3 linked regions of the Mytilus edulis genome follow. The protein of the gene in region 2 binds, or shares a complex with, the protein of the main gene of each other region. Links are inferred from orthologs where the notes say so. Each region holds a gene or a part of one and is shown on either strand. Other genes may lie near its edges.

The links.
Region 1: pre-mRNA-processing factor 17-like (region 2) and pre-mRNA-splicing factor RBM22-like share a complex: the UniProt entries of both Homo sapiens proteins name them as parts of the postcatalytic spliceosome P complex. The link is inferred for Mytilus edulis from reciprocal best matches to the Homo sapiens genes CDC40 and RBM22.
Region 3: pre-mRNA-processing factor 17-like (region 2) and pre-mRNA-splicing factor SPF27-like share a complex: the UniProt entries of both Homo sapiens proteins name them as parts of the postcatalytic spliceosome P complex. The link is inferred for Mytilus edulis from reciprocal best matches to the Homo sapiens genes CDC40 and BCAS2.

The regions. Positions count from the first base shown.
Region 1 is NC_092352.1:86,310,892-86,318,275, reverse strand, and holds the start of pre-mRNA-splicing factor RBM22-like, read right to left. Parts: upstream 3,039-7,384; 5' UTR 2,971-3,038; coding exon 2,917-2,970; intron 1-2,916. UniProt on the Homo sapiens protein: Required for pre-mRNA splicing as component of the activated spliceosome. Involved in the first step of pre-mRNA splicing.
Region 2 is NC_092353.1:60,952,795-60,959,980, forward strand, and holds the start of pre-mRNA-processing factor 17-like, read right to left. Parts: upstream 3,101-7,186; 5' UTR 2,817-3,100; coding exon 2,658-2,816; intron 1-2,657. UniProt on the Homo sapiens protein: Required for pre-mRNA splicing as component of the activated spliceosome. Plays an important role in embryonic brain development; this function does not require proline isomerization.
Region 3 is NC_092356.1:71,254,345-71,261,699, reverse strand, and holds the start of pre-mRNA-splicing factor SPF27-like, read right to left. Parts: upstream 3,014-7,355; 5' UTR 2,950-3,013; coding exon 2,875-2,949; intron 1,921-2,874; coding exon 1,828-1,920; intron 719-1,827; coding exon 648-718; intron 1-647. UniProt on the Homo sapiens protein: Required for pre-mRNA splicing as component of the activated spliceosome. Component of the PRP19-CDC5L complex that forms an integral part of the spliceosome and is required for activating pre-mRNA splicing.

The sequences.
Region 1 (7,384 bases), on a different chromosome or scaffold from region 2:
AGAAATCCATAGCTATTGAATACATCTTTATCTTTTTTTAATTTTTAATTCATTTTTGAAAATATTAAGACATGCATTTTCGTAGTTATTTGTTACAAGTAAGTTCATTTTGTTATTCGGTTGGTATTTTTTTACACTTTTTTTTTATTAATTATATGTATATATCAGTGGACTTACTTAAATGAGTGATTTTTTAAATCACTGATTCAAGTAACATTATTTCCATAAAGGTTGAAAGTAAGAGTTGTCTTTCTTTAATAATCACCTATTTAAGTAGTACAAAATAATCACTAGAAGAAGTGATTTAATTTAACTGTAGCTTTAAATATAGAATACTAATGATCCAGGGACTAATTATGTTTCTAAACTTATCAGAACCAACGTTAACATCTGTGTTGTTTAGGATGACCAGGTCATTTCAGGTGATGACCTTGTACTGAATCTAGGATAATGACATAAAAATCACTTGGTTAAGTATCATACCTCAATTTCCTTCCCAAAAATCACTCCTTTGAGTATCATTATTTTAATAACCCCCACTAATTTCAACACCCCCGAACAGTGAAATTTTTATCGCGAACAGTAGAATTTTATTACATAATCTAAAAGATAAAACCTTGAACTTTACAGGAAAAATACTTCCACTGCTGGGAAAAATCTGTTAAGAAAGTATCAGTTCATTATGTAAAGCCATTATTATAGCATTTTTTCAACTAAAATAGAATTTGCAGCTAAATGATAGCATCAAAGGCATAAATCTTGATACTTAAAAGAAGGTTAAAAATCATTTTTTTCAATTTTACTAATGGAAAGATATTTTTTAAACCTTTGTGTTTAATATTTTGGTAAAACTACAATATTACAATTTGTGACAAAACTTCGAATTTGCTACTCAAATGAGTGATTTAAAAATCACTTATTTCAGTAAGTCCCCTGACTGATCATGTATTATACAGGGCTCACGCTACCAGGCGACTTGGGCGAAGAAGTCGCCTTCCCGACCGTCACTTCGCTTTCCCCGACCACCAAAAGCGAAAACAAGTCGCCCTGTTCTTGACGATAGTCGCTTTCAGTCGCTTCCGTCATCAGACATTTTCAATTTTTACCAAGTTGATGAAACATCAATTTTTTACTGATAATTAAAGAAATTCAGACATAAACGATTCATTATCTTTAGAAAAGATGTTGAAGCATTGTCTTCGCAGTGTGTAGCCGGTTATTTGATAAAAATACAACTTTTTATCACTTCGTGCATTTCCGCAAGTCCCGGTGCTTGTTACTCGAAAACGTACATCAACCTAAATTTCGGCGGCAAAATAAGTTTGTTACTTCATTTAAACGTGATAAAAGTTGCCTCCAGTAAATGTTTGATCCATTTATTGCATTAAAACCGTCATGTTCCTTTCCAAATAACTTGTCAAACATCGTTTATTTTTGTAAATTTTCTTGCATTCGTCCGCCATTGACCGATTTCTAAACTACGGATCTGAACCGGACCAGCTATGACAGAAATCCGTACTTTTACAATAATTACTACGGACGCACGGATGGAACAGCTGACAGAAGAATATTGATCCCAAAGGGAAAAATTACGCATTCCACAGTCATTAAGAGACTTTTGGTTACATCTAATTGATTGGTGTATATAAGTCCCTATATTTTTTATGGATTGTTTCAAACTATTGATTAAAGTTGCTTAACTCTGAGACTATTCTACTAATATCAATATATTATAGTCCAGCTTAATAACTTTTATATTTTTTTATGAGAAACACTGAATTTCATACACAAGATAATTTTTAATTAAATTGTAATTGATATATTATAATTTCTTTACATTTTTTAAAATAATTTTTTTTTTAGTGCTAGATATTTAGTTGGTAGTTTCTCACAAGAACCTTAGTAAAACTTAAACAACTTTTAATTTCAAATGTTACTTTAATTGTAATTTTTTACTCATGAATTGAACAACATAAAAAGAACATTATTTACATGTGGCCCTTTATACTATTGTAAAATCCAAACATTGTAGCGCACCGCGCGAATGAGCACTTCTCTTTCAAATCTCACCACTTCTCCCTATCAGTTTCAAAAAGAGAAGTCACTTCTCCCTATAATTCTGAAGTAATGTGAGCCCTGGTATATAAATGATACATAAAACAATACAGTGCTAAGAGCTATCAAATACTTCCAAAAAGATATCTGAATCTTTGAGCATGTTGAGTTGACTAATACCATATTATAAGTGTCTCTTTTTAATTGTCAAAAAGTTCAAGTTCGATGACTGTTTTTGGATTCTTATGTTGTGTGCATTTGACAATATTTCCGATTTCTGCCAAATTTTGTATGTATTAAGAGATCGTATATGTATATGGAGCATTAACATATAGATTCTGTATTTTGAGTCCAAAAATGTTGACCATAGCATGTTCACCAACCCAATTAAAGTACCAAAATTTAATTAGATTAACCCATTTTGACACTTTCCGTAAACACCAATTAAGCAAAGAAACATGTCATTTAAAAGTTTTGACACCTAGTTAGAGTGTTCTGTGGTATTATGCGGTGTTCTGTGGTAAAAAGATGCTCCATACTTTTTCTGTAAACTACTTTTTCTACCATCTACAGATATTAAGGTTCACCTAACGGCCATATTTACACCACAAATTTTACTCTGAGTACAGACACACCTAAACCCCTGCAAAATTTTTCAGGGATGACAGGAACATGATAATTAGATTTTAAATGCATTTTATGTTTCAGAAAATTACAAACTTTTCTGGATAATATTTGCTATTCATATTTTTCATTCTTGCAGAATGTGCCAAATAAAAGTTTGGAACAAATAAACTTTTCCATAGAGGTTGTTTGTCACATGTAAAGGTAATATGCAGTGAAATAGTCTTTAAAACATACAGAATCTTCCCAGTTTTGTCGATTGTACGTATTTGCACCCTTCGATGTCGCCATTTCTTTTCTTTTAGTGAAATCTGGTCCCCTGATGTTGCGAAGTATAGTACAACACTACCTAAAACAGAACAAAAGTTTGTACCAGTTGTTTAAAATCACTAAAATGTTTGATTGTAGCAGTAATAATGACCTAGTTTTCAAGAACAAATATGACCCAGCTTTGTTTATTTTGAGAAAATTACACACACAGAGGAACTGAAGAACCAAAGAAAAGTATTCTTTTTGGATCAATTTGCTGATCATTTCTTATAAATTTACAAATATACTGTAAAGTAAACAAATGACGTATTTCTATATTTTATTTTGAAACGAATTCGTTCGAAAATACACCAGATGGTGGTCTGAACTGAAGACTGAACAGAAAATTTATGGAAAAAGAAGAAGTTATTTTTATAAATTTAATGAAGTCTGTACAGATAACTCCATCACTTTAACTTCTTCTTCTTTCAGTGAAGAACCAAATTCAATAGTTGAATGTATTTATTCCAGCGGAAACGATGCCTAGTGTCAGACACCACAAAAAGTTTTCTCTTGGCTGTTAAAGAGTCTCAGTTTTAATTGTAAATACATATAGAGAGTCTCTAAATGTATATGTATTTACAATTAAAACGGTTATGTAGGTTAAATCTCATTAGAGCTCGTGTTATGTACTCGTTTGTATACTATGCCGACTCTAAATAAAGCTGGGGTTTTTTTTAATAATAATAAAAATTACCTACATGATATTACTGTCTAGATTCATGATTGTAGCAAAACATGCCTTCAGGGCAGCTCTGAATCCTTCAACTGTGTCGGCTGTAGTCTGAGATTACTCTGATATCCAACAGCTGTTTTTCCAGACAGGACCCGGGCCGTGTCCCAGGGCCCCAGCTTGTCTGGCAAAAAAGAACTTGGGCATCAGAGTTATCTCAGGCAAGTTGGCTGTTGTTGGCATTTTAGTTCCAGTCCCTGATGGTCCTTAGGAGTAAGGAAGAATGATTGGCCAAAGGTGTCTGCTGTAGCCTTTTCTTGGTAGAATTAGTTTTTACCTCTGGTCTGCCCAGAGGTCAATGGAGTTGTAAGTTTAGATATAAAGGCTCTGTCAACGCTTAATTTCATAGAAAATAAGCTTCATTTTGTTTTAGAATATATAGCTCTCCACGATTTGAATTATCACAAAATTTATTGGGGCCTCATGATCAGTGGCCGAGTGGTCTAAGTAGATACTACTGTATTCACTAGCCAGTTAATGCTGAGGTTGTGAGTTTGAACCCTGCTTGTGCAGGTGCACTCAACTCCAATTTTAATTGACTAGGATTGTCAGTTTTCCTATCAAAGATCAACAGTTTTCTCTGGACACTCCGGACCCGGCTTCCTCCACCAATAAAAACTGGCCACCAAGAAGTAGCCCAAAAGCAGTGCGTGAAAGTTGCCTTCAAACACCAAAAATAAAATCTAATCACAAAATTTATATTTCAAAAAATTTCCAAATCTGAAAAACATTGATGACAGCTGGTGAATTAGTGAAGTTATTTGGAATTAGAAAGATCTATTTGTCCTGAAGCTGTGTTCAAGACGTTTCATGATGTTGCCTGCAAGTTAGTAATAGTATATATATATGTGCTCTAATAATTTGCAAGAAATACAAGTTTATAATGAGATTGGTCTATAGTTACCAGGATGATGCTTGTCTCCTTTTTTGAAAACAGGTCCAATCATGAGGTACTTTTCCTTGATGTTGTAAAAATTATAGTGTGTTAATGTTGTCTTTTAGCACTATTCCAGTTATGTTTTTATACGACCGCAAAAATTTTAATTTTTTGGTCGTATATTGCTATCACGTTGGCGTCGTCGTCTGCGTCGTCGTCGTCGTCCGAATACTTTTAGTTTTCGCACTCTAACCTTAGTAAAAGTGAATAGAAATCAATGAAATTTTAACACAAGGTTTATGACCACAAAAGGAAGGTTGGGATTGATTTTTGGAGTTGAGGTCACAACAGTTTATGAATTAGGGGCCAAAAAGGGGCCCAAATAAGCATTATTCTTGGTTTTCGCACACAATAACTTTAGTATAAGTAAATAGAAATCTATGAAATTTAAACACAAGGTTTATGACCATAAAAGGAAGGTTGGGTTTGATTTTGGGAGTTTTGGAATACGGGGCCCAAAGGGTCCAAAATTGAACTTTGTGTGATTTCATCAAAAATTGAATAATTGGGGTTCTTTGATATGCCGAATCTAACTATATATGTAGATTCTTAATTTTTGGTCCCGTTTTCAAATTGGTCTACATTAAGGTCCAAAGGGTCCAAAATTAAACTTAGTTTGATTTTAACAAAAATTGAATCCTTGGGGTTCTTTGATATGCTGAATTTAAAAATGTACTTAGATTTTTAATTATTGGCCTAGTTTTCAAGTTGGTCCAAATCGGGGTCCAAAATTAAACTTTGTTTGATTTCATCAAAAATTGAATAAATGGGTTCTTTGATATGCCAAATCTAACTGTGTATGTAGATTCTTAATTTTTGGTCCAGTTTTCAAATTGGTCTACATTAAGGTCCAAAGGGTCCAAAATAAACTAAGTTTGATTTCAACAAAAATTAAATTCTTGGGCTTATTTGATATGCTTTATCTAAATATGTACTTTGATTTTTGATTATGGGCCCAGTTTTCAAGTTGGTCCAAATCAGGATTCCATATCAAGTATTGTGCAATAGCAAGATATTTTCAATTGCACAGTATTGCACAATAGCAAGAAATATCTAATTGCACAATATTGTGCAATAGCAATTAATTTTCAATTGGAGTTATCTTTCTTTGTATAGAATAGTAGTTGATAATATATGTTGGAAATTTGCCAGACATGACTATGATGTCATTTTCTATTTTTATTTGCCAATAACTTTATGTAAATAACTTCATTGGAAATTTGCCAATATAAAATGTTGCTGATGAAGCTTTTTTTCCTTATCTTATCTAAAATGTTTTTAGATAGTGTATGTTGGACATTTGCCAGACATGACTATGATGTCATTTTCTATTTTTATTTGCCAATAACTTTATGTAAATAACTTCATTGGAAATTTGCCAATATAAAATGTTTCTGATGAAGTTTTTTTTATTTTTTTATACAATAAACAATGTATATTCACTTTTACTACCAACCAATCTTTACCATTTAGTGATAACAAGCACTTTATTTTACATTTTAATATTTTATGATGTATTTAAAAGAGTAGTTATTGTTGCAAACTCCATTAGAAATTTGAATTGATATCAGTTTTGGAAAAAGGGAAACAGGGATGTGAAAAAAAAGGGGGGGGGGGGTAAATTTTTCTCATTTCGGATTTCATAAATAAAAAGAAAATTTCTTCAATCATTTTTTTGAGAGGATTAATATTCAACAGCATAGTGAATTGCTCAAAGGCAAAAAAAAACCTTTTAAGTTCATTAGACCACATTCATTCTGTGTCAGAAACCTATGCTGTGTCAACTATTTAATTTTAGATTTAAAAAGTTTGAAGAAGAAATCTTTAATTGATTTGTAAAATCTTGACATTTGTTTTGTGTAAAAAAAAAACATGTATTGTCAAAATTTTGATCACAATCCAAATTCAGAGCTGTATCACGCTTGAATGTTTTGTCCATACTTGCCCCAACTGTTCAGGGTTCGACCTCTGCGGTCGTATAAAGCTGCACCCTGCGGAGCACCTGGTTTAGCTTGTCCTGTTTTAGGATATAAATGTTTTTTTTCATATTTATCATCATGATTATTAATGACTCTAACCCACATGTATAGCTGCATCAGGAATTCAGCATCCATGATAAGTTGTTAATGCATAAAAGTCATTTCTGAAAATTTGTTCATTTTGGTGAATTGAATATAAACATTTTGTATGCCCCTCCTAGGGGCATTATGATTTTTGGTCTGTGCATCTGTTTGTCTGCCCTTCTGTTCATTTGTTAATTCAACTGTCCTGCTTTAGGTTAAAGTTTTTGGTGAAGGTAGTTTTTGATAAAGTTTTAAGTCCAATCAACTTGATAAGTAGTACTTATTTTTCTATGATGTGATCTTTCTAATTTTAATGCCAAACAGTTTAACTAGAGTTTTGACCCCAATCTCACTTTCAATTCAACAATGAACATAGATAATGATAGTGTGAGTGGGGCATCTATGTACTAGTACCACATTCTTGTTTCATCAGACAGGTGTCAAATTTATAAAATGATCTAAAATGTATCCCATCATCACCAATTAAGAATACAATTTAAACTTCTTTATCAAATACACTGAGTAGGCATAATTTATTTGTTTTGACTATAAATGCCAGATGTTAAAGCCAGTTTATAGTTACAACTTTAAGACACTTTTCTAAAATATTTATTTATAAAATCAACATGTGTTTGAAAGGCAATTACATATTACTGCCAGATA
Region 2 (7,186 bases):
ATACATGACATATAGTGAGATTCTGATTTTTTTATGTGTTGAATAAGTCTTAATCATGTTTAGGCAAGTGTACGGGTCTCACTAATTAACGACAAGAAGCGTCAAGAAGCGACAAGAAGAATAATTTTAGCGACAAGAAGCGACAAGAAGACTATTTAGCGACAAGAAAGCATTTTTTTTTTTTTTATTAAATATTAAGAAATATGCATTTATAAATTTTTTTTAATACACGGGCAGATATAAATTGATGACCTATTTAATAAAAGATATCGTTAAATGAGGAAATACACAAACTAAAATAATGTGAAAAATATTCACATTTTTATTTTTGTTTCCCTCTTGTTTGATTTCAGTCCTTTGTATTTCACAATTTTTGCCTGTACTTTCAGGACAATGATGTACAAATAATGCATTTCGCAAGTTTATTATATATTATACAAAGAAAGTTTTAAAAAACAAATTATAAGATAAATATATCTGTATATTATTGTTCTAAAACACAAGTAAAAGTAATATCATAATACGTAATACTTGCTGTTGTACATAATAGATAATAAAAATCATATAAATAAATGTAGCAATTAGATCTATGTTTCAATTTTTTTTCTATCAATATTAACTTTCTTGTTGCTAAAAATTTTTTCTTTTGCATATTCTTTTAATATTTATTTGGAATAAATAATTTTAATAAAAAAATGTTTTTGTGTCGTTAAATAGCTTCTTGTTGCTTCTTGTCGCTAAAATTCTTCTTGTTGCTTCTTGTCGCTAAAATTCTTCTTGTTGCTAATCAGTGAAACTGCAAGTGTACTGCTCTATATAAATATATTTTTTTCATTGTTTCTAAGTAAAGTGAGATTCTGACAACGTTTTTTTTTCATTCTTGTGTTGATAAAATCTTAATCATGTTTTGGTTAGTGTATTGCTATGAATATTTTTTTTACATGAGTTCAAAGGAGCCAAGCTGTTAAAAACAATTATCTTTATTTTTGGTTATACAAATTGTTATTATTACAATAAGATGGATAAATTTAATAAGTGAACAATTGAAATTAAATGTTTGTTTAATTGTTTATAAATCTGAATCCTATTTTGTTACTCTGGCCCAAGGCGACACTTGCTCAGTAACACATGCAAGGAATGTCATATTTTTTTTTTACATTATTGCGAACCCAATTGAACCTTTCAATAGATTCACCTGATAGTTACCTGTCCATTTAAACTTTTGGCCGTTCTATTGTCCCATTGAACAAATACAACAGGTATTGTTCTCTGTATAGTCTATTCACTCAGACCTTTAAATTTCTTCTAAGAGAAATCGATCACTCATTGATTAATCTACCAGAGTAAAAAGTTTATCTGCTAAATTGATGGAAATTACAAACAAACCGCGCACCGCGATTAAAATTTTAAAAACTTTAACCACAGAGTGAATGTAATGTTTCCTCGCAGAAAAACTAAGTCCATTTATAAGTAAAATACGGAAAAGCGGAAATTTATTTTCACAAAATTTTCTTCTTGATACTATCTTATCATCATAAACAAGCTTCTGTCCAAGTATGGTACAAATCAAGGATAGTTTATGAAAGTTATTAAAATTTTAAAAACTTTAACCACAGAGTGAATGTAATGTTACCTCGCAGAAAAACTAAGTCCATTTATAAGTAAAATACGGAAAAAATAGAATTTTATTTTTACAAAATTTACTTCTGGATACTTTCTTATGATCATAAACAAGCTTCTGTCCAAGTTTGGTAGAAATTCAGTATAGTTTAAGAAAGTTATTAAAATTTCAAAAACTTTAACCACAGAGTGAACATTTGTGGACGCCGCCGACGACGAAGGAATGTAGGATCGCTTAGTCTCGCTTTTTCGACTAAAGTCGAAGGCTCGACAAAAATGGGTGCGAAGGTATAGTTGACCATTATCTACTGGATTGTGAAAATTATGAGAAGGCTAGAGAAAAACTCCTCTCTGCACTCTACATGTACTTCATAACATCAAAACTTACACTTGAATCAGAAGTATTATTAGCAACAACAGAAAATGATAATTACAAACATCACATAGAAGATATTCAACATTTGTTAGGGGTCTTTATTAAAGATACTGGAAGGTTCACAAAATAGATAGTTACGGTTTTATAAGGGTTAATTATTTATTCATTTATTTGTTTACTTTTTTTTAGTTAATTAATTATTTATTTATTTATTTGTTTTTCTCTGCAGTGCCACATCATAAAAACAAATATACAAATGAGTTTTATACAGTAGCGACATAAAATTACCAGGATGATCGAAATTACAGAGAGATTATAATGTCAAGTTGACACTTCTAAAGACTACGCGAACGTACTTCCGGAGCGAACATGAGAGGTGCGAATGTGTAGGCTGCAAATACGAAAGTGTATTGGGCGCGAACGGACCTGATACCTACTAATGCCCCCGAAGTATCCAATCTAGTTTTAACTCCGGTTTGCATACCAGATATTGTGTGGGAGGGTAAAACCATGGAAATATGGCGGTCATGTCTTGAAAGCAATCTCACGGGTACTCGTAACTGACATCAGGTAGCACCTCATTCAAATATAAAAGAGGATACAAATTAGAATTTTGGGAAACAGATTATCTGGAAAACTTTTCAAAATATGGTTGTCATACTTTTGTAAATATTTCTGGTGCTGCTTTCAACTGAATCGTTGAAGAAATAGCATTTTGCTGATTTATTGGTCTGAGATGGGCTGTGAGATCCTCTAAATGATCTTTGTTTTCATGATCTGAATTGTCTTCATCACTGCTATATTGTTGGAGTGCCAACATTTTAGGACATTTTCAATAATTGGCGTTGAAAGAGTAAAACTAGGCAAAAAACGTTTCAAAAAGCATTAACCGGAAACTAAATGAGTAAACAACAGTATCGAACAAAAAGTTTACTGCAGTAAATGAAATTAAGTTTTATATCAAATTTTATTTTTTCATTTATTGTCTGGTTTTGTTAAAGTTTTTGTAAATTATAGAAATCAATTGAATGAAAGGAATATTTTCTTAATGAGGACTTCAATCAAATTTATGTCAAGTCTCGTTGATAATGAGAATGCATGATAATTAACGAGATTTCATCGCCATTTTCTTGACTTCCCGGATTGATGATGCTGTATCGTAAATATTTACATTTTTCCAATCATGAAGTTTGAATGCAACTGGTGAGCATGTTTCTATATCACAAAAGAATCATTTGTTCGAATAACCACGTGAAAAATCATGCCATTTTTCTTAACTACTCAAAATTTATTATAAAACTTGGGTGTGCCAGTGACCTGTTTTTGTTTTTCTGCTGTCATCTTTCAGGTCGAATCCAAGAAATGTAGACAGATTTGATCATTTCAAGAATATGTTCATAGTTACACATTCAATCTTTTCATACTGATCCCTTAAAGCATCTTCATATCTCAATACACAGCTCAATTCGTAATCAATCATTCAATGCAGCTTAGGGTCGGAATGTTAAATTATCCAGATAAATTTTTGTAAAGAGTAAACCACAAATAATGGTGTAGTCCTGAATTGGTTATCAGTGATGTGAAAGACCACTCTTAAGTTGGCTGCATTTCTGTCAAAACTTTGGTCTAATTGTCATATTGAACATCATTTTTGCGTTTTTAGGGCATCATCACTAATGTCACTTGGGCCAGTCACCTGTTCCATGCTGTCGCTGGGCAATCAATTGTAATGTTGTTCATAATTCTTAATCACTTTGTCTTAACCTGAACCTCTGTGAAACAATGCAGCGAGTATACTTACATAGCTAAATCCAATCTCACTAGGGAATTATGATTTTAGTACAGACGGAACTAACAACATGAACAATAATATCATGTATGGCGGTTTTTAAAAATAAAATGAGACAGATGCAGCTGAGATGCATTATATACTTGCAACAAATTTTATTATAAGATATATATGAACAGTACACTGAATTCATTGTTATGACCATGATGACATGTATGACTTTGATTACAAATTTTCATGGTTATAGTGGTATCAAATTAAAGGAACCAGAGTTTGCTAAAATTTATTTTGACCTTTGACAGTAAGACTGTCATGAATGACATGTCAGTCCCAGGGATTTCCATGGCCTGTTTAACGATGGCCCCCCCCCCCCCCCCCCCAGTGATATTGTTTGCCTCAAATTACAGCCGATATTCGGCTTTTTCCCCTAGAGGAAATTCCCAATCACTAAAAAAAATGGCTTAAAATTCCTACCAAAAAGTTAAACTTTTTCCCAAAACAGTGAAGGCATTGATAGTAATGTTTGTAAATATCGTATTCATGTCATTATTTTGATATTAGAAAGCACTTTTGAGATCCGGTTTTCTGATCAGAATCAATATGGTGCTTGTAACACAAGTGGTTTTCAATGCATTTAAGTACCAACATTGCTTCTGTTTCTTTCCCCTCTCCGAAAAGTACCTTTCAGGTTCAAAATGTCTGACAACCAAAATATCCACGAAAAAAAAGTGCAAAAAAGACAGCAAAGGTCAGTAAAAAATCGGAGATGTGTTTAGAATAAAATATACAAATTTCCCAATTTCAATAAAAAATATCGTTTTTCCCAATAAAAAACGGTAGAGGTAGTTTTGAAAAAAGACAACAATATCACTGCCCCCCCATCTTTCAAATGTCTTGCGCCATCGTCAAATGACTTGCACCATCGTCAAATGACTCGCACCATCGTCAAATGACTCGCGCCATCGTTAAATTGTCTTCCGCCATCGTTCAAAACTTCATCATTTTTTGTAGCCCGACACTATTTTTTTTATCATTTATAATCAAATGCATGTAATTGCATAACCCTTAGGCTTTTTATGTTATAATCCAATACAGTTCTAACGCCTGAGGGATATCCGGATTAAGATCGCTAATCACTTGTACCTGAGCTTGTACAGGTAGATCAACAAATCAGACAGGAGAATACTATCTGAGGATAGACGATCCATTTGTCGAATTAATCAACTAAGTTTCAGCAAATGATCGATGATTATGATAATTTAGATTAAATAAATAAATTAATAATACAGTTACAAAGAAAACAGTTTAAAATGTCGAAACACATGCTTTTTCTTGACTTACGCAATTAGCATCCCCCTTTTTTAAGAAGTACAAAATAAGACGCAAAACAGTAAATATTTATTTCATTGCAACTAACTCAAGTACTGCTGTAACGATAATTTAGAATTACTTTAAAAGTTTAAAAGTAAAAACTTAAATATTTCCTGTAAAGAAATATCGTATCGTAATTCCGAATTCATTTTGTATATTACAATCAATATTGATACATCCGTGTTTCCGGTTTGTATTCAGACTCGAAAGATGGATGTTGCACAGCATCAATTTGCCAGATACAGTCATTAAAAACCTTTTCATTTGTCAACGTTTGCTTTACAAATCTCTTTAACCTTTAACATAACCCGTACGAATCGTTTTGTTGTTGCTGCAAATCAGCCATACCGTTAATGGGTTATGAATTTGACAGTGTCCATGAAAAATAAGCTCCACATCATATGATTTTTAACCCCCATAACAATTACCAAAAATACAAGAAATCTACATGGGGACCTTCATGACAGCTTTTGGTCATTCTCGACTAAGGGGACCATGAAGACTTGGCATTTGAATGGTTAAAAACGGCAATAAATGAAAATATTGATACATTGTACTTCTAATTCTATAATGAAAATTCAAATAAATATAATTTAAATAAGCAATGAATTAGCATGTTCATCATTCCTTGTATGGAGGTATACAATACTTCCGATCGTGCTACACTGTACAGCATAGACACTGTTTGTAATGGTGAAAGTTCCTCCATCGTTCAATTTTCATCCATGGAGATCCCTGAACTGTCCTACAGTAAATTTTCCCTGAAATATAACAAATTGTAGCTTGCCGCTTTGGTTTGTTTATAATAAATTTCAGAAACCAGTACCAGAAAAAACGTACTAGAAATTGGCTGTGGGTACATTTGATGAAGGATGTAAAATAAACCATGTTTATATCATAGGCACTGCAACAGCCATTTTTGAATAGGTCATTTGGGTTGCTGCTTGCGATCAAAATACCAGATCAAGTATCACTTTGAATCTCATGACTCTGGAGAAACCACAACTTGAAATGTGAAATGAATTACACATTTTTTATTGTAATGTATGCAACCTTAAGCAAAACCACAAAATTAAATATCCACGAAAATGCGAGTTTTCCTCAAATCCATGAAAATTAGTACGTTGACAATTGAAAAATTATTGAATACACAATATTCAACATGTTCAACATGTTCAAAGGGACTGCTCTCTGTTATTACAGCTTTTACATTAATGCTAGCAAGACAAATCTTTGTTTGGCTTGCTTGCTTTGTTTGAATCAATGTTTGCTCAAGCATGGCAATTAAGATAGGCGGGGTTTCAGCTTGTGTACATCATGATACTTAAATTTAATTGGACGTTATGTTTGAGGTAAAGGACCTTAAATTTTAAAACATCACATGACAATTATTCTCACATGTTTCCTTACCTGTAAATATACGATACATTCGTCAAAATTATCTCCCTATTACGTCGATTCATTCTCACAATCGATCGTAGAAATGGAAGATAAATTTTTTTTTCGAAGATATGCATTGTCATCATCCAACTTAAAAGACTGTCGTCTATAACTTTTATTTAAAAAAAAAAGTTTTTCGAACACACCTACTCTGATTTTGTGATTCATTACACATGTTACATATGTATTTCACTTGACCTATATATTTCATCTTTTAGTACTGTGATTTTTTTTATGTTATAAAGTCAACCTGTAGCTTTGCTATATAAAAATGATAGAATCTGATGATGTATCAAATACTCTTGCTTAGTACGTTTTTAAGACAAAATATTCATTTCAAACGCACCCTAACATAAAAATGTGCACTCGATTTTCTCTTTTCAATACCCATTTTTTGGAATTTTTTCTTGAGTCACATAATGGAAGGGAAGACACGAAAGTAACTGAAATAACAGTTAATAAAAATATAAACTTTTTTTGCACTCGACGCAAAACTGTGGAAGGCCAGTTTCTCAGCCTCATACAAGAAAAAAGTTAATATTTCTCTTTCATTGACCAATTATTGTTTTTTTACAGGTAAGGAAACATGT
Region 3 (7,355 bases), on a different chromosome or scaffold from region 2:
TTATGTATATATTATAGCTTAATTTTTTCCAAACCCCAACCATTTTACATAAGTCTTATAAAATAAAATTTTCATTATAGTTCCCGATGTATGTATAGCACTTTCAACTAATAATTATAAGTAATTTTAATTTGAGACCATTTTAATTTTTATTTGTAAATATATGCAGTTGTTTCTTAATATTTTCTTACAACCCAGCACATTTGAATTATTATATATCTTATATATCTTTTAAAACTTTATGATGACAATCCTATGAATTAATTATGATATTTATCATTTAGTGATTATTATAACCAAATTCAGTCATCTGTATATAATTAATTGTTTCCTTATGTTTTAAGGTGTACATACAATGTAGTTGCTAAAACTATACCCTTTGGGTAGTGCTCCACAATTAATGGAGGAATATACAAGAAACTGAACTGAACCTGTCAAAATATAAAAGGGGTTTAAAAGAATACTGCATGAAGATGTTGGTTTAAACCTAATCATTTGAGTCTGTAGTGTGTGTATTGAACCGCTAGTGTCAATTTAACTCATAACATTTACAAAGTCTGAAAGACATCAACATTTCTTGTGGATATTCTAAATATTTCTTTTTTAATATACATTAAATGTAATTTTGATTAAAACAAAATGTAAACCTTTTCATGTTCAACATATCCATAGGTAACCGTGACTGCATTCTTTCATACTCTGTTTTCATTATCTCTGTCTGAAAAAACAACAAATAAAGCATTTTTATAAAGTGACTGAAAACAAAATTTTCGCTTGAAAAAACATGAATGATTTACAACGTAACTGCCTATCAAAAATAACCATTGTATCTCTATGTCATGTTCCTTTCACAAATACTGCACTCATGTAGGCTGTAAGAGTGGCTTTTATTTCTTTGAACATTTATTGCAATATGAATGTTGGAGATGAATATCATCGTGTTTTACCTTGTCCACCAAATACAATGAAATAGATCTTTTCTAATAAAAAATTTACCTAAATATTACTATTCATGGCCAAAGTAAAATTATGTTGATTCATTGCACTGAGCCACTCGCATTGTTAATCTGACAGTAAAACTATGTATTTATTTAAAAGCCGCTTAGAAAATTGTATCATATATATTCTTGAAATAGTATTGTATAACATATTACTTCTGTTCATTTTTGTATATGTTTGTTTGCAATGTTCTTTAGACTTTACAATAGATTATCTAAATTTTAAAAATAAATAGGATGCTTCTCGGCTACAATCTCAAAGAATGGCTAAAAAGACTTCCTTTGAGTTGGAGGACCATAGCTATATAGATATAAAAAAAGATGTGGTATGACTATGATTGCCAATGAGACAACTCTCCACAAAAGACTAAATGACACAGAAATTTACAACTATGGGTCAGCTTACGGACTTCAACAATGAGTAAAGCAAATACTGCGTTGTAAGCTATAAATCTGATAATCTGTATTTTCATAGGCAATGTCATTGACACATGCTTATGGTACCAGAGGGTTTTCATTCTACTCAACTTCAAATTTTTTTTCAGTCATGTAGCTTTAAATGAAAAATTACCAAATAAAAAAATTTAAGTTTAATCTACCATGTCTACTGTATACATCATTATTTGCCACAGCATGAATATTTAATGCAAATAATGTATTCATTCATGAAGGGGGATAGGACCTTAATCGGGACTCCGGGATCGGGTGTTTCAGGATGTCAGGATTTAAATTATATTATTTACTCCCCCCCCCCCCCCCCCCAATTCATACCTCAAACTAAATACATTTTTAGAGCAGGTAAAATTTCTAAATATATTTTTGTAATTACCTCGAACTGTAGATAGTTAGGAGCAGGTAAGTATTCTAGATAATTCTTTGTAGGTCTGTATCTTCTGGTTTCTTCATCAACCAAAGCAAGAGCCTAAAATTAAATTATACAACACATAAAAATGAGGCACAAAATTTAAGCCTAGACTTAATTCCTTAAGAAAAATTGTGATTTTTATATTGAAATGTCCAAGGATTCTAATCAAGGAAGTTTGTTTTTCTGTTATCTTTTAAATTATTCCTTTATCGATTTTAAGTATCAAATCATCAAATATAAAAAGGCGTCAAAACAAAATAAAGAAAGTAGCCTTTAACGGGGGCTGTATTAGTCAGATTCCCGTATCCCGCTTTAATACACTATGTACGTAAGCAATTCTTATTTTTTGGTTATTTCCTGTGACCCACTAGAATTCATTTCCCGTTTTCAAAGCACAATAATTTGACTTTCACATGTCACACTTTATGTTACCAGACAGCATGTATATTGACTGAGCTAATGAAGTACTTTCTTAGTTCAACTGCTTACGGCTGACTAAGGATCTACCATATCACCCTTCCCCCACCTCCAGAAAGTCTAGTCATAATACCATTATAACTCTAACACATATACAAATGTACCCTAGATAGAATTCTTCTCTTACCACTGTGGGTTTTTTTAGTTGGGCGCTAATGTAACTCGGTCTGCAGAGACACAGGCACTCATCTCCGAAAAAAAATTTCTGAGACGAGTGCCTGTGTGCAGATCTAGAGAGTATACAATTCATTACAAAATTGCTCGTCTCGACTCCCACTGGGACATCTGTGTTACAAATACAAGGCAGTTCAACTGTATCAGTTCCAGGCAGAGCATATACCGAGTAAGCTATAGAATTAAATTACTTCCTTAGCAAAATATATTTATATAATTATATATATATTTTTTTTACTGCATAAATAATTGCGACTTCTCACGTGTATGAAGTTTTAACTTGAGAGGCCATTATAAGTGGGTCATGAATGAATAAACAGTAATTTGTATTTAATTTGTATTATCTTTGATTAAACTTACGGCTTCTCGAACACCTGGTTCGTCATATCCTTGGTCAAAATAAGGTAAGGCATCGACAACAACTTCTCCAGCCATTGTATACTAAGGGGAGATAACTTAATATTTCTGCTATCTCGGGCCATAACAAACTCGGCCTATAACAAATTCGGCCCAACCCATACAATCGGACTATAATAAGCTTTGACTATTACGACCGTTAAATCAGACAATAATTATGATGATGGGTGCTATTTACTTCATTTGAACACAATGAATAGTAACAACCAAAATATGCACATTCAATTTTTTTTTACTATTTTACTTTAAGACGAAATCATTCCATTCTTAAATTTACGGATGCCATCAGGAGTTGGTTGACCTTTATGGAATATAAGTTTCACAGATGTATGATTGCAGATGTGTCCCATATGTCGTAACTACAATCTTTTCCCTTTTTCACAAAATTTTCCTAACAAGTAGGACTTGTTACAGGGTTTGTACTAACATGAACGACACAATGGGCGACACATGTGGAGCAGGATCTGCTTCTTCTTTCGTTAATCAGCAACGGAAAAATAGCATCACGCTGATGCTGTGTCATCAAGTGCAGGTGCTGTACAATTTGTGATCAACAAAACCGAAAAGTAAATACTGTTACCCTTCCAGAACACCTGAGATTACATCAGTTTTTGGTGGGGTTCATGTTGCTTAAGTCTTTAATTTTCTATGTTGTGTGTTTTATGTACCATTGTGTTTGTCTGTATATCTTTTTCTTTTTAGCCATGGAATTGTGAAGTATAATTTTGATTTATGGGTTTGAATGTCTCTCTGGTATCTTTCGTCCCTCTTTTATTGTGTTTTGAATATTAGATAGTTTATGCAGTACGTCAGCTATTTTTTTATTGCATGGTATAAAAGCTGTTCGGCAGGGTTCATCTGACATATTTCTAATTTTCATCACCCATGATAGATCAATGATAAGTTTTTTCTGGTTGTCTGTTTTTTTAGATACTACATATAACTAATATACCTAGGCTGACTTTATTTAATGTATGAAATGATTGATTGATATTGATTTTGGTGTTTTAACACATTTCTTTTGGGCTATTTGGTGGTGGTCAGTTTTTATTGGTGGATGAAGCATAGAAATCCACAGACTTTGGATAGGAAAACTGCAATTCTTGTCAATTAAGATTGGAGTCAAGTCCACCTGCACGAGCAAGGTTCAAACTCACATTAGAGTTGACTGGCTAGTGATTACTGTGGTAACAATTTAGACCACTTGACCACTGAGGTCCCATGAAATGATTGAATTGTTCACATGTCTGGCAGGGTTTCATCTGATCTTACCTTGTCATTTACATAAACCCAATCTGTTTGAGTCTTTAAACATAAATTAAATCATGATCAGAAAAGGAGGCAAAACATTTCAAGTAAGTACTGTTGTCATAATCTATACCCAGTTATTCAGGACTGTGATATTTGACATGGAACTTTAGAAGGCCAATACTATCAACTAATAATACTGAAACTGACATCCATACCGTAAATAAATAATACTGAAACTGACTACCAAACCGTCAATTAATAATACTGAAAATGACTACCATACCGTCAATTATTAATACTAAAAATGACATCCATACCGTCAATTAATAATACTGAAAATGACTACCATACCGTCAATTAATAATACTGAAAATGACTACCATACCGTCAATTAATAATACTGAAAATGACTACCATACCGTCAATTAATAATACTGAAAATGACTACCATACCGTCAATTATTAATACTGAAAATGACTACCATACCGTCAATTAATAATACTGAAAATGACTACCATACCGTCAATTAATAATACTGAAATTGACTACCATACCGTCAATTATTAATACTAAAAGTGACTATCATACCGTCCATTATTAATACTGAAAATGACTACCATAACGTCCATTATTAATACTGAAAATGACTACCATACCGTCAATTAATAATACTGAAAATGACTACCATACCGTCAATTAATAATACTGAAAATGACAACCATACCGTCACTTAATAATACTGAAAATGACTACCATACCATCAATTAATAATACTGAAAATGACTACCATACCGTCACTTTATAATACTGAAAATGACTACCATACCGTCAATTAATAATACTGAAAATGACTACCATACCGTCAATTAATAATACTGAAAATGACTACCATACCGTCAATTAATAATACTGAAAATGACTACCATACCGTCAATTAATAATACTGAAACTGACATCCATACTGTCAATTTATAATACTGAAAATGACTACCATACCGTCAATTAATAATACTGAAATCAATTAATAATACTGAAAATGACTACCATACCGTCAATTAATAATACTGAAAATGACTACCATACCGTCAATTAATAATACTGAAAATGACTACCATACCGTCAATTAATAAAACTGAAAATGACTACCATACCGTCAATTAATAATACTGAAAATGACTACCATACCGTCAATTAATAATACTGAAAATGACTACCATACCGTCAATTAATAATACTGAAAATGACTACCATACCGTCACTTAATAATTCTGAAGGAACTGAAATAGACACATCTTTATATAAATAAATATTTTTATTAAGTCAGACAAATATTTAATTACGTCAGAAGGATCCCACATTTAATATTCTGCCCCTAAAGTTCATAGATCTATCACAGAATATCATAACAATCACACCAAATCATTCATAACAAGATACCATAAAAAAAATGATTGCTTACGCCAACAAAATATGCTTCCAACAAAAAATATCTGTTGCCCTACACTCATTCATAACAATAACATTGTCATTTCTATCACATTCATACATGTAACCTACAATGTCAAAGGTTAAATACAATAATTACTGTATTTATACTAACAAACACAATTATTAATATTACAATGTCACATTTTTTTGTATTTTAGTAACAATCCTATTGTTTGGATTTTATACTAATAAAATTCTTATTCTATGACAATCACACCCATAAGTATAACAATGTCATTAATATTACAATGTCACATCACACCATGACAATGTCAATGATATAACACATATAATACTATGACAATGTCACTGACACACCATGACAATGTCAATGATAAAACACATATAATACTATGACAATGTCAATGATATAACACATATAATACTATGACAATGTCACTGACACACTCAATGAGTTTCCTATTATCAATGTTACATCACCTTTGAGGTGTAATATCAATTACTCATTTTACATTATTACATCACACCGAAAAGTATAACAAATTAAATGACCATGATTTTCCTATTAGAATTACTCTGTATACAATCACTCCCAGGATTATAACAGTATAAATGATTTCCATGTCATGAAGACAATAATTGTATCAAATATACTTGAAAAGTTAACAACCACCACAACTATCCAATACTACTTCACAGGGACTCAATTACTGTTAATTCAAAATCATTGTTAGGATTTATATATACAATAAAATTCAAAGTGACATAATTCCTGTAAAAAAAGTTGATCAGCAAAGATTTTCATCTCATTAAAGACATAACTGATATAAAGTTTCTGTGTCAATTTCATAAAAATTTGTAAGGGTTCAGCGGAACCCAGTGTCTTGACTACTTCTGCTGTTAGTCGCAGGCTCAACAAAAATGAGGATGAAATGTTCATCTAGATACTATCTTTTGATTGTAAGAAGCTTCTGTCCAAGTTTGGTAAAAATCCTGGATAGTTTATAAATTTAATAAATGTTTTAAAAACTTTTAACCACAGAGATAAGTCCATTTATAAATAAAATAAAATATGGAAAAATAGGATTCTTTTTAACAAAATTTACTTCTGGATACTATCTTATGATCATAAGCAAGCTTCTGTCCAAGTTTAGTAGAAATCTAGGATAGTTTTAGAAAGTTATCAAAATTTCAAAAACTTTAACCATCGATTGAATATTTGTGAACGGTGCTGCTGCCGGAATGTAGGATCGCTAGGTCTCGCTTTTTCGACAAAAGTCGAAGGCTCCATAAAAATCTAGCAAGAATGTAGACTTGGGAGCAATCAAAATGCATTAGGGATATATTTAAAGCAACAATAATTTATCAATTCTGCATTTGAAATTTTGTGCAAGACATTGCCAATATAAACCTTTGGTATAAATTTCATAAAACTCTAGCAGGAATCATTTGTGTGAGATCTCTTAGAAGACATGTCAAACTGATAGATGGAAGGAGACTGGGTATATCTATAACCTTCACCAAGTTGCTGCAAGGGACTATGATTTGCATTGGACCTCAATGAAGTTAATGGCATTGCATCCTGAAGTACTGTAAATTATGAAATTATGACATGCATTAATTATTGCTATTTTATCATTTAAGACTAAAAGAAAATTTAATTTTGTTTTGAGATTGCCAAATATCTGTTTAATTCATATAATAATTTCAAAATGCGACTTTA